Danio rerio: one gene and its partner. The protein of the gene in region 1 interacts with the protein of each later gene in a biochemical or structural test. Links are inferred from orthologs where the notes say so. Each region holds a gene or a part of one and is shown on either strand. Other genes may lie near its edges.

Region 1 (6,706 bases):
AAGAAAGAAATGTAATGTAATGTATTTTTTATTTAATGCCATGTCAGCAACCAAGGCTATTTTCATGGCAGGAATCTTTCAACAATAAATATACAATTTAATAATCAACAAGCAAATTAGAACATTAGAACATTTTTATGTTAATACATGATAAAAATTCTGAAATCTTTTCTGGTTTCACTTTGTTAAAAATGTCCTTTTAGTTTTAGAGTTCATTAAAATAAAAAGTCCTGTTCTGGAATCAGTAAAAAGACAGTCCAGTAAAACGTGTTTTATTCAAAAGACAGATCGTTTTCATTTTAAAATGCCATTTTAAAACGAAGACGTATTCAAGTAAAAGGGGCCTAACGCCCGATTCACACGGGGCTTCAGCGTCAACGCTTGACACAGGGTGTGTCTAAAGTTGGGGGTGACACGATCGTCAAAGCAGCGTCAGCCAATGAAATTAGTCAGCAATTAGTCTGTCTGAGCTGGGGTATTTGCATACAGCGATCTGATTGGTTGGTGCTTCTGTCAGTGGCACCAACGGATCCACAATGCAAATCGGCAACGCCTGACATCACCCATTTAAAGTGTATGGTAAGCGTTGACGCCCCGTGTGAATTAGTGTTTATTTTTCGCAAGCGGGTTGTTGCTGCGACAGGGGCGGATGATCGCAATGCCAGCTCAGCATTGTGATGTCTATCGGCCATCGGCAATGGACGATGACATTGCCTATCAAACCAACCCTAATTTATAAAATGTTCATGTTTTTATTGACACTGAAAAAAAATGATGTGAGGCTTTTTAAAACTTTGTTTTATTTTTTATAAACTTAGCACCACTTTTTTGACACCAGTTGAAATATATTGATATCGGTTCCTCGATAAAATGAAAACTACATACAACATAATTAACCAATTTGTAAAAATGCAAAAGAATTAAAATAGGCTGCACTTGTCCGCACATTAACATTTGAGCAGGGTAGATTTATTTTTGGTAGCCCGACTGAAAAACATAATAGCCTCTGGACATGTGGCTAGCAGTTTTGCGAGCCATGAAATTGGATGAGCTTGATAAACTCTGTATTTAGAAATGAATTACAATACTTCACAGACTGTCAAGGTACAGCAGGTTTCACATGGTAAAAATATGTAATTTAGCTCAAAAATGAGTTTAATATATATTTAAATTTAGTTTCTTTTTCACACTTCAGATTAGAGCTGCACGATACTATAATATGTGATATCGTATTGAGATATTTTTCATATTATAACTAGCTTATGTCTGTCACAATATTTTTGTGTGTGTGTGTATGGTACGATATATAGCACCAACATTTATATGATAAACAATAGTATTGTGACGTTTAGACCATTTTGACACTGTAATATCATCACAATGCACGTACACTCATTTTATTCTCAAGGATATTTCATTTAAATATAGTCATTTTAACAATTTAGTAATTAGGCATTGAATCAGAATGTGAAACTGAATATTCTAAACAAATAAATAATAATAATAGATGTTAAGAAAAAAAATTGCAAGGTAGAAAGATCTAGAAAAAAGAAGCATCTATTTTCAGTCATCAGTAGGCCCACACGGAATCTGCGCGCGCAGAATTCCGCAGATTTTTCGCGGAATTCCACAGATTTCTGTAGATTTTTAGCCCATCATTAAGTCTGTTTATTTACTTAAGTAAATGTGTGTAAATCTAATTTTTTTTTTAAACTAATTACAGTAATATTATTGACTAATATGAAAATGTTCATTTGATTTATGTACAATACAGTCTGTAAAGTAATATTTTCTGTCTTTTAGTAGATATATTATATCTAGTAGATATATTATATATGAGAGACTTGCTTTGTTTACCAAATAAAGTGAATCTAATTAGATTTGCAATTTAAACATTAAATAAAAGTTAAAAAGGTATTACTTTTTATTTAACTAATTAAGGTTTTAGTTACGATACTCTCAAAACAATTCCGCTGAAATTCACAGATTTTTACCAAAATTCTCCGCAGAGATAGCAAAAAACGTCCGCAGATTCCGTCTGGCCCTGATCATCAGGCACCCATGGAAGTATACAAAAGTAATTTATAGTAAATACTATAGTGTTTACCATACCAACACTGACACCTCCAATAGAGATGGAGAAATCGCACAATCAGCTAGAAATGTTGCTTGACTTTTATGTATGGGCAATATATATCGCATCAACAAATATGATTGAGGTCATGTCCATGTATTGTGCAGTAAGTCAATATAGTGATTATTGTGACAGGCCTAAACTAGCTTGCAAAATTTTATTTTATCAGCAATTAAAATATATATTTATTTAGGTTATGGTCTGGTCATACTAAAATAAGCAGGTAATAGATAATTTCCTGAGGTAATTAAATTTTAAAAAAAGATATATAACTCTAAATACTGTGCAGCCCTACTTCAGATTGTGACTAATTAAATTAATTATTTTTTAATTAATATGTATGGACACAATATTTTTAACATTTATATACAAAACCCACTAAAATGTCATTCAGCGTGACAAGAATTTAAAAAACAAAGTAAAAAGTAATCAACAAACAAACAAAATTCCAAAAATTATATTTCATATCACCAGGATCAACCCATTTGTCAGTAAGTTTTTAATGTTTTCAAATACTATGAGTTTTTTTTTTCTGTATTTTCACTATTACAGATCAGAAGTTTTACATTTTTACATAAACATATCCATTACGCTGAATGACGATTTTTAATACAAATTTATATATTTTTTTGTCTTTAAAGTTATTTGAAATAACTCAGTTAATACTTTGCCATTATTTAAAATGCTTTTACACATAAAAGTCCTTTTTAAATATAACTTGATGCCAACAGCAATAAGCGGAAGTCTTATTTTTGACCCACACATGTTTTATGAAATGAATATAGAGATTGAAAATTGTAATAAACCTAATGAATACTCAAACATTTAAACAGTTTTCATAAAAAAATTATGTAAACCTAAGTATTAAACAGTAAGGTAGTTAGTTATGAACTAGTTAACTAGACAGTAAACTAGTTAAACTAGCAATTACATTTTTTTCAACGAACACATTCATATTACTGGCATAATTAATATAATTACGTCAAATCTGATGTGATTTTAATGTTTACATCGACTAGTTGACAGTTCTCAGACATGATTAACGTGTCATTAACGTTAAACTCTGCAGTTTTGACCAAACGACGTGCCTTTGATATATTAAGGTAATTTATATCATCAGTTTACATCTTAAGTTAATTTTTTTTCAAGTTATAACACAAATTCTAATCGGACGGCTAGCAAGTTAGCAACTTTCTAGCAGTGACCAAACTGCTGTTTCTGTAGAGATGACGGTGAGGCTAAACTGAAGGATTGCTTTTGTTAGTACAATACGTAGTTTAATGAATGGTTTTGTAATGTGATCAATTAGAAATTTTACATCTTACACACTTACGCGCTTTCTTGCTCACAAGGCCACAAAATCCCGGGAATATTTTGCGCCCTACTGCCCGCGCGTGTGAAACCATGGGCGGCAACGACAAGACAGTGTTTCAAAATAAAAGCACTGCTGTTTCATTTGGATTAGATCAGTAGAAGAACATACAATACAGCCAACCTTGTTTGAGGACTTTGATTAAGGACTTGACACTCATCTTGGACTAAATGACTAAAGACCCCTGGATTGTTGCTGTTTGATTCATGACATTTGTTGTTATTGTTTTTCAAGCATTCAATAAAAAAAAACATACAATACAGCCGGTAGAAGAACATACAATAAATGGTTAAATAATAACAAGCCTTCGCTCCGTATTTGGTATGGCTTCATGACGCATTACCTGAAAGATTAAAAACGTTTTACAGCCATATATTAAAAGTTTCAGTAGTATAAAAAGTATTAAAAAAAACTTTATAACAGCATGAAACGCAGACAATATAAACGAGCTGATTTAAATTTTGATTGTAATTATAGGTAGTATTTCAAACACTAATCTTATTTTTCTTTAATATTATTAAAGAATTTCTTAAGGCTACATTGCGTAAGGCCACATTTCCCTGCTGAATTTTTTTTTTGTTTTTGTTTGTTTAAACTAGCTTGGTTAGTTGGTTTTAGGGTGGTTATAGCCATCTCTGGCCTGGAATGAACAGCTAAAACCAGCTTTACCAGCCTGCTTTAAGCTGGACGACGTAGCTGGTTTTGGCTAGTCTTCCAGCCTGACCAACTAAGACCAGATCCTGTAAACCCCTGTAAAACCAGGCTGGTCGAATTTGAGGTAAAATTCATTTTACATTTGCACATTCTCCTTTTCAGACAGGTATTCGTTAGAGATTCTAAATAAATAATTCATATTAGCAGCCAATGAATATCTAAATACAACATTGTTCATGACCAATTAAAAAGTGCTTGTTGTTTTGAAGTCATGCATGCTGTTTTTAACCAAATATTCAAAGTACAATGGTAAACGATATAAGGACCATGTCAACAGATGCAGATATAACCAGTAAGCAAGGTAAGCAGTCGCTTAGGGCCCCAGGGAGTCTTGCGGCCCACAATTTTTATAAGTTATATACAACATAATTTTCCATCATATTTTGTAGGGATGTCCCGATTAGGGTTTTTGCCCTCAAGTCCGAGTCATTTGATTAATAGTAGGCTATCTACCGATACCAAAACCCTATCCAAAAACACATAATAAATACTTTAAAAAAGAATAAAGAAGTGAAGAAGCAGATCAAGGATGTTCCTTATTTTTTATTTAATTCACCTTATTTTAACATTCAACAACTCTGTTAACAAACAGAGCACTTCTGTGAGGTAGCTTGAACATCCAAGTAATAACTTAAATTCTTTACTTGTGGACTTTAGAGCAACAGTAAACATATATAAAAAAATCAAATAAAACGAATTGCTTCTCAATTTAAAATACCCAACAAGCAATACTTAGTTTACATATCTGAAAGTTTGCCATGGCAATGTTGTCATCATCAACTATACTATATAATACCTCCAGACCGCAAACATAATTGCACTTTTTGCTTCAAGCTGCTTCTGTGTTCTACTTTGCGGGCAACACAATAGTGTTTTCACAACAACTTGATGTAAGGCTGCACGCGTTGCTGTTTTGTTCACATATATATATATATATATATATATATATATATATATATATATATATATATATATATATATATATATATATATATATATATATATTTGAGTCCTGATCAGGAGATACGTTCAATTACGATTGAGGCTGAAACTGCATGATCAGGCCCGATTTCAGATCGGATCTGACAGCCTGATCTCACGAGAAAACGTAAATATTTTTCGTTTTAAGTCCTGCCACACACTTGTGTCAAGCCAACAAACACTAAAGAATGTCTGGATCTGTGGTCATAAGTTTGCAGCAAATAAACTCTTAATTAATTTGCATAATTTGCTTTAACTATATAATATTTGACTATAACTCTCTGAATTTCCAAAAACATGGTGGGACTTTTATTATGTTTAACTCTCTTTTTAACTCTTTATGTGGCACTCATTGACTGAAATAACAACTGGAACCACCCTGAAGTGTCACAGAGTGTTATTAAAAGACTTTTTATGATTTAAACATTTACATTAAATGAAGTTATATTATAATATGTGTAAAAATGAAGTTACCATGAAGGAGGAGGATAAGTAAGTCAAGTCTACCTTTAAATGGGCTTTATGCACAGCAGGAGTTTAAAAGCCAATGAAAGCTTAATGTGACTATATACAGCATTAATGTTGTAATGTAATTACAAAACATTCAGTTAAATAGACTTAAACACTCATTTAGTTGTTGAAGCAGAATACAAGATGAAAGACCGTGTAACCGTTAGCACCGTCAGTAGCTACAGGCTAGCACAGAAACTCCATTGAAAATACTGGGGTAAAATAAACTGTCAAATTTTAAAGACATGGCGGGGAGAAATGGAATTTAGGTCAGAGCTTCTTTTCTGATCTAAGACTCTCTTCATATCGTATATCTAACAGGCAGTGAAGATTGCAGATTTTTTAAGAAATCAGATACGTGACAATTTTGTAATGGAAAGACAGTTCACCGGAAGTCCTTGGGCTGTCTGGCTGAAAATTTAAGCTTTGTGTGCATATAGCCCATTACATTAAAACTACACTCAATAATTATACACTAAAAAAAACAAGTGACAAAATATTGAAATGGCTAATATAATCAAAAAGTTTAGAATCTAAAATCAACCAGCAGAGGGAACTGCTTTAACATTCTGGTTGTGTCTTAAAATTGTGTCCATCTCTAATTTTGTGTCCATGCAAGAGTGCATCCTAAAATCTCCCCTTAATGAGTATCTAATCGTATGTTGACAAATAGGCAGTACATATATAATTATTTTGTAAAATATAATTATATATATTAAAAAAAGATATATTTATGTAGTTAAGTCTGATGTTTGAGAAAGCAGTCACATACTTTATCAGTTCTAGCACTTTTTTGACATTTTAAACTCTACCTTATGGCCCGTTTCCATTGAGTGGTACTGTACAGTAATTTTTTATTTATTTTTGCTTATTCAAACTTCTTATTTGAAATGGGCTGAAATAACACAATCCGTCACATTTCATTGGTACAACTTAATTTTTTATGTTCAATCCACATACGTTTGTTAAAAGTGTTAAGTTAACTTAATTTGTGT
Region 2 (5,049 bases), on another chromosome or scaffold:
GATGAAAACTAGCCCTTGTTGCTAACTCTGGCTTATTTACAGTTTTACTGTTCATTAATGAGCATTGTCCCTGTTAAATAAAATTAATTCAAATAAATCTTTATTTTAGAAAATATATATACCCAAAAACAATAGTTTAGTTTCTAATATTTATTCATTTATTATTATTATTATTTATTTATGTGTATCTGTGTGTGTGTGTGTGGTGCAACATTTTCAAATTATTAATAATTTTTCTGTGGCAAAAAAAAAAATAAATAAAAAAAAAAAATATATATATATATATATATATATAATTTTGATGAGCTCATCTACACATTGAAGATAATAAATATTTAACAAGCACCATTTGAAAACATTACAATTACTTACGGATCATGTGACACTAAAGACTGAAGTATTAATGCTGACAATTCAGCATTATTTCAGTCATAAACAACATTTTTAAATTGATTATTTTAGAATATATGCAGTTTCCGTGAGCATAAGCAGCAGCTTTCGGAAACATTAAAACCTCCTAGGTTCCTACCAAACACTAAACGTTTAGGCATCAATGTATATGTGATAAATTGCATAATGTAATATTGACCTCATTGTAATCTCTTTTTAATATTTTAGGTGAACGAGAGTACACAGCGCTCTGCAAATGTTGGAGTCACTGCGTGCAATATCTCATCATCAGCCCTCGAAGCTGCTGAGAAACTGGGGCTGGATCTGGCAAATGTTCTCCTTAATAAAGGGGCCAAAGACATTCTTACAACAGCCAGAAAACTAAATGATGCTCGATAACCCTGATGTTTCTGTTCATTTCATGTTGTGCACTGGAATATCATTAGACCTAGATATTTTGGAAACTTTGACATGCTGTTAACTTGGATAAACAGTCAAATCAACGATAGCTGAATAACTACCATGATTAGAGGAACATGTTGTTTTATCTATACCTCAGTGCCTTGCTTTAACAGAGACACTACTTTTAGATGACTGCTATTCTCTGGTCTCAAGCACTGAGTTTTGTAAAAAATAAATAAATTTAAAAAACCGCCAATTCTGCCTTTACAGCATAGGTCTCAAACTCAATTCCTGGAGGGTTGCAGCTCTGCAGTTTTTCTCCAACCCTATCAAACACAGCTGACCCAAATAATCAAGGTGTTCGAGAGTTATGAACATCTTCATAAGGTGCATTTGATCAGGGTTGAAGCAAAACTGCGAGCTGCAACCATCCAGGAATTGAGACCTATGCTTTACAGTGTCTCTGAACCTCATTATTACAAGGAAGTGAACAGATGTCTACTTTTTACATCAGAGCTTTTTTTCATCTTTAGCTTTTACGTAAACGGAGTAAAAAAAAATGTGTCAAAGTATCCCACATTTCCTTTTATCACTGGAAGAATATTCATGTAATAATCAAAGTACTGAGGTGCTAAGATTTTATGGGTGTTTTAGCACCATGTAAGATTTTTACTGGCAAAATTAGCTGTCTAAGTTCGTGTTAATATTTTATATTTATGTAGCAAGTTGTAAAGTGCCTTCCAAATGTGAAATTGACCAGCTATACTATAGCAATTACTTGGCCAGCAACATTGTGTTGTCAAATCAACATGAGAATGAATTAAAAAATGTGTTATAAATAATAAAGTATATCAACAACCCCCTGATGAGTTCTTTGGTTTTTTGCTGACACTGGAAAACAAGACTCACACTATCGTTCACTCATACATAAAGACTTTTTACATTATGAAAAAGACCAGAGAATTACTTTGCCTTACCTTGTGTTTATGAAAACCTAGTTTCCGTTTTCCAAATTAACTCGTATAAATTAATTATGAGAAAAAAAAAATGTACCGTTAAGAAATAAACACTGAAGTAACGTAAATTCTTAAATTGTGATAACAGTTAGCCTAAATCGGTTCAAAAAACACCAACATTAACATTATTAAAAAATGACAATTTAATAAGCAAAGCATGCATCTCAAAAATACAAGCTATATCACATTCAGACACATGGAAATTGCTCTTTTCAGAAGAGTTGGGTGGCCCTTAAAAGGGCCTTTGGATGAATTAGCTCAGTTCAACATTTAATACTCTTGTGACTGGGAAGATCCCTTCTTTCCAGATTTGCCGGAGCTGGCTGCAGCCTGGCCAGTCTTCTTGGGCAGGAGCACGGCCTGGATGTTGGGCAGAACACCGCCCTGTGCGATGGTCACTCCGCCGAGCAGTTTGTTCAGCTCCTCGTCGTTACGGACGGCCAACTGGAGATGGCGAGGGATGATACGAGTCTTCTTGTTGTCTCTTGCGGCGTTTCCCGCCAACTCGAGGATCTCAGCAGTCAGGTACTCGAGCACGGCGGCCAGATACACGGGGGCACCGGCGCCCACTCGCTCAGCATAGTTGCCTTTACGAAGGAGACGGTGAACACGGCCGACGGGGAACTGAAGACCGGCGCGGGAGCTGCGAGTCTTAGCCTTAGCGCGGGCTTTTCCTCCGGTTTTACCTCTTCCAGACATGTTGAATGGCTTACTTAACTCTTCGCGTGTGCAAGAAATCAGTACATTGGCAGTGAAACTGCTGCAGTATTTAAAGACTGGTTGAACGTTCAAAGCATAGTCCCGCCCACACATTTGATTGGTTGCGCGAAGGGAAGTACAGACCTGATTGGTTGTCGGTGGTGAAACCAGAGCGGATGTAATCCCCCATTGGCTTGAACTTGCAGTGCATAAACAGCGCAAAGTAACGAACCAATCAGAGTGTATCTGAATATGCGAGAGCTGATTGATTCGCTTGGTTCGTCTGCGCTAGTATTGGTCTTTCTTTACCTCAATCACATTTCGGCGGTAAGTTCAAACCAATTGAACATATTCCCTCTGAATTTTAACACAGTTTGACGCAAAACCAATTTTTTCATTTGTTTAACCCTCTCATGTACACTTATTGTGACGTAATATTTTATAGATTTAATTCACTCAATGTAAATGTCTTTAAAATGTGATTTGTATGCGATTTCTTTAAAATGCACAATGAATTAAATCACTTTGTCGTGATGTGACACTAAAGTGATTCAGTGTGCATTTTAGATAAATTCACTTTTAGCTGATTAATAATGGGAAATAAGAAAGGAGGAATGGTTTTTCAAAAATAATTTATTCAGAATAAATTAAACATCAAATGAACAACAATATAAAGCTCCGAATACCTCAGAAGGCCCAGCAGCAGCACCTTCACTTCAGATTGTTCGCTGTCATCACAACATTTTGCTCATACATTTTTCAGGCTTTATGCTCCAAAATGACTATAAAGCGCTGAGCCATTGACTCGTGACCTGCAATTCACTGTATAATTGCTAAAATGCTTTCCTGTAGCTATTATTTTGGTTAGAACACCCTTGCCTTTATTATAAGTTCAGGTTATTTGGAATGAAAAACAAAAGTCTGAGAATTGCATTGAGTCGTATGGGTGGGGAACCCCAGCAGACTATTTTTTAGTTTAATAGGCGTCTAATAGACATCTAAACATAAACAGCTTGGATTAGTCAAAACTACACTAGTCGTCAGATAGACAGACTTTATATATGTAGTCATTAATTTCTGTTTATTTGATGACTAGTCTAGTTTTGGCCTATTTTAGACGTCTACTGGAGTTTCACTGACAGCCCTTTATTTAGCCATGAGGACTGTTTAGACGTCTATTAGACATCTTAAAAAGGGAAGATACTGCGAGAGATTCTTTAAAGGGACAGTTCATCAAAATGATATTTGATTGGGGGTTTCAATCCTGTTTCGTGCAACATGAAGAGTTTAATGCAGATAACCAGCTTCAGTTACCACAGCATCTTTATATCCATCAAATGAAAATGAATGGTGACCACGTTGAGTAGGAGGTTTGAGTATGAACTACTCCTATATTTGACCTTACATTACCAGAAAACAACAAAGCCTCCTGCTTAGTATTACAATAAAAAGCTACCACTAATAAAATCTACTTTATGTATTTGACGTGCAAAAGACCTTTATTGCAGCTCACTTTAAATAAACGCGGTTGTGTGTTACTGGGGCAGCGCCTGTTCGGTTTAAAAAGCCATCTCTGAAAAAAATAAAGCGATGAAACTTATTATACCTTTTATATTAGCCCCTGAGGTTTCACGTGGACCCTGAAAATAGCACTTTCCCACTGCAGATCCAGCCTGATGCATCTCACGAGGTTGTAGATTTACAATAATTCCTGGAATAATTTATAAATATGCACAAATGCGTTTTTTTGACCTGTAGTGTGTCCCTTTTGTCAAACGAAGGGCTCGTGTTTTACAACCAAAACACACAGACAGACGTCATTTAGTGCGATATGTCTACAGTAACTTATGAACGTTTCCGTTTCTTAAACGAATAGAAACATCGTTATAAAATATTACTGAAGCCACGATGAAAGTCAAACGTACCACTATTTGAAAACAGGGAATCCCATCCCTTGATCTAAATGCTATATATAGCAACAGCAAAACGAGAACAAAGCTCACAGCATGTCCTAGCATATCACACTCTCCGGATACTCCTAATGAGCGCAGGAGAAATAAACCAGTGCAGAGCAACAGTAAACGATACACAAACATGATTAAAAACGACAGAAAGAGAGCTCCCCAGCATTGTAAACAATCAGAATAAGATCCAAAGTGCAAATGATGAAGTAAAATAAATAAGAAAAACGACACAGCGACAGTTTGGAGGCTTGAATAGTCATTGGTCTCTGTCGCCCCCTTGTGCTCAATAACCGCATGACGATCCCGTCCATTTTTGGGGTTTTCCAGTTTGTTCGCCTGAAATCATCCAGAAAAGCAACATTTTGTCCGTTGTATCAAATAAATTAGATAAGCAATGCATCCATATAAATCCTTTTATTTTCCGCATTTATTGGCGTTTCCATTAACGCCAAAGCAAGGCTGGCTTCATAGGTATATAGTGTGGTCAGAAGTATGATATTACTGTTTTAGGTTGTGGACAATCAGTATATAACATAAATAACTTGTTCTGAAGAAACATAAAGCCAATTATTCCACAT

What was found.
Region 2: of the proteins of rnf168 (region 1) and h2ax, one has a biochemical effect on the other in vitro, tested with the Homo sapiens proteins (2 studies listed by BioGRID). The link is inferred for Danio rerio from reciprocal best matches to the Homo sapiens genes RNF168 and H2AX.

The regions. Positions count from the first base shown.
Region 1 is NC_133190.1:4,312,381-4,319,086, forward strand, and holds the start of rnf168 (E3 ubiquitin-protein ligase rnf168), read right to left. Parts: upstream 3,548-6,706; 5' UTR 3,468-3,547; intron 1-3,467. UniProt on the Homo sapiens protein: E3 ubiquitin-protein ligase required for accumulation of repair proteins to sites of DNA damage. Acts with UBE2N/UBC13 to amplify the RNF8-dependent histone ubiquitination.
Region 2 is NC_133180.1:31,150,116-31,155,164, forward strand, and holds h2ax (histone H2AX), read right to left. Parts: upstream 2,551-5,049; 5' UTR 2,508-2,550; coding exon 2,079-2,507; 3' UTR 1,934-2,078; downstream 1-1,933. Other genes in the region: hmbsa (hydroxymethylbilane synthase a), read left to right, coding at 619-789. UniProt on the Homo sapiens protein: Variant histone H2A which replaces conventional H2A in a subset of nucleosomes. Nucleosomes wrap and compact DNA into chromatin, limiting DNA accessibility to the cellular machineries which require DNA as a template.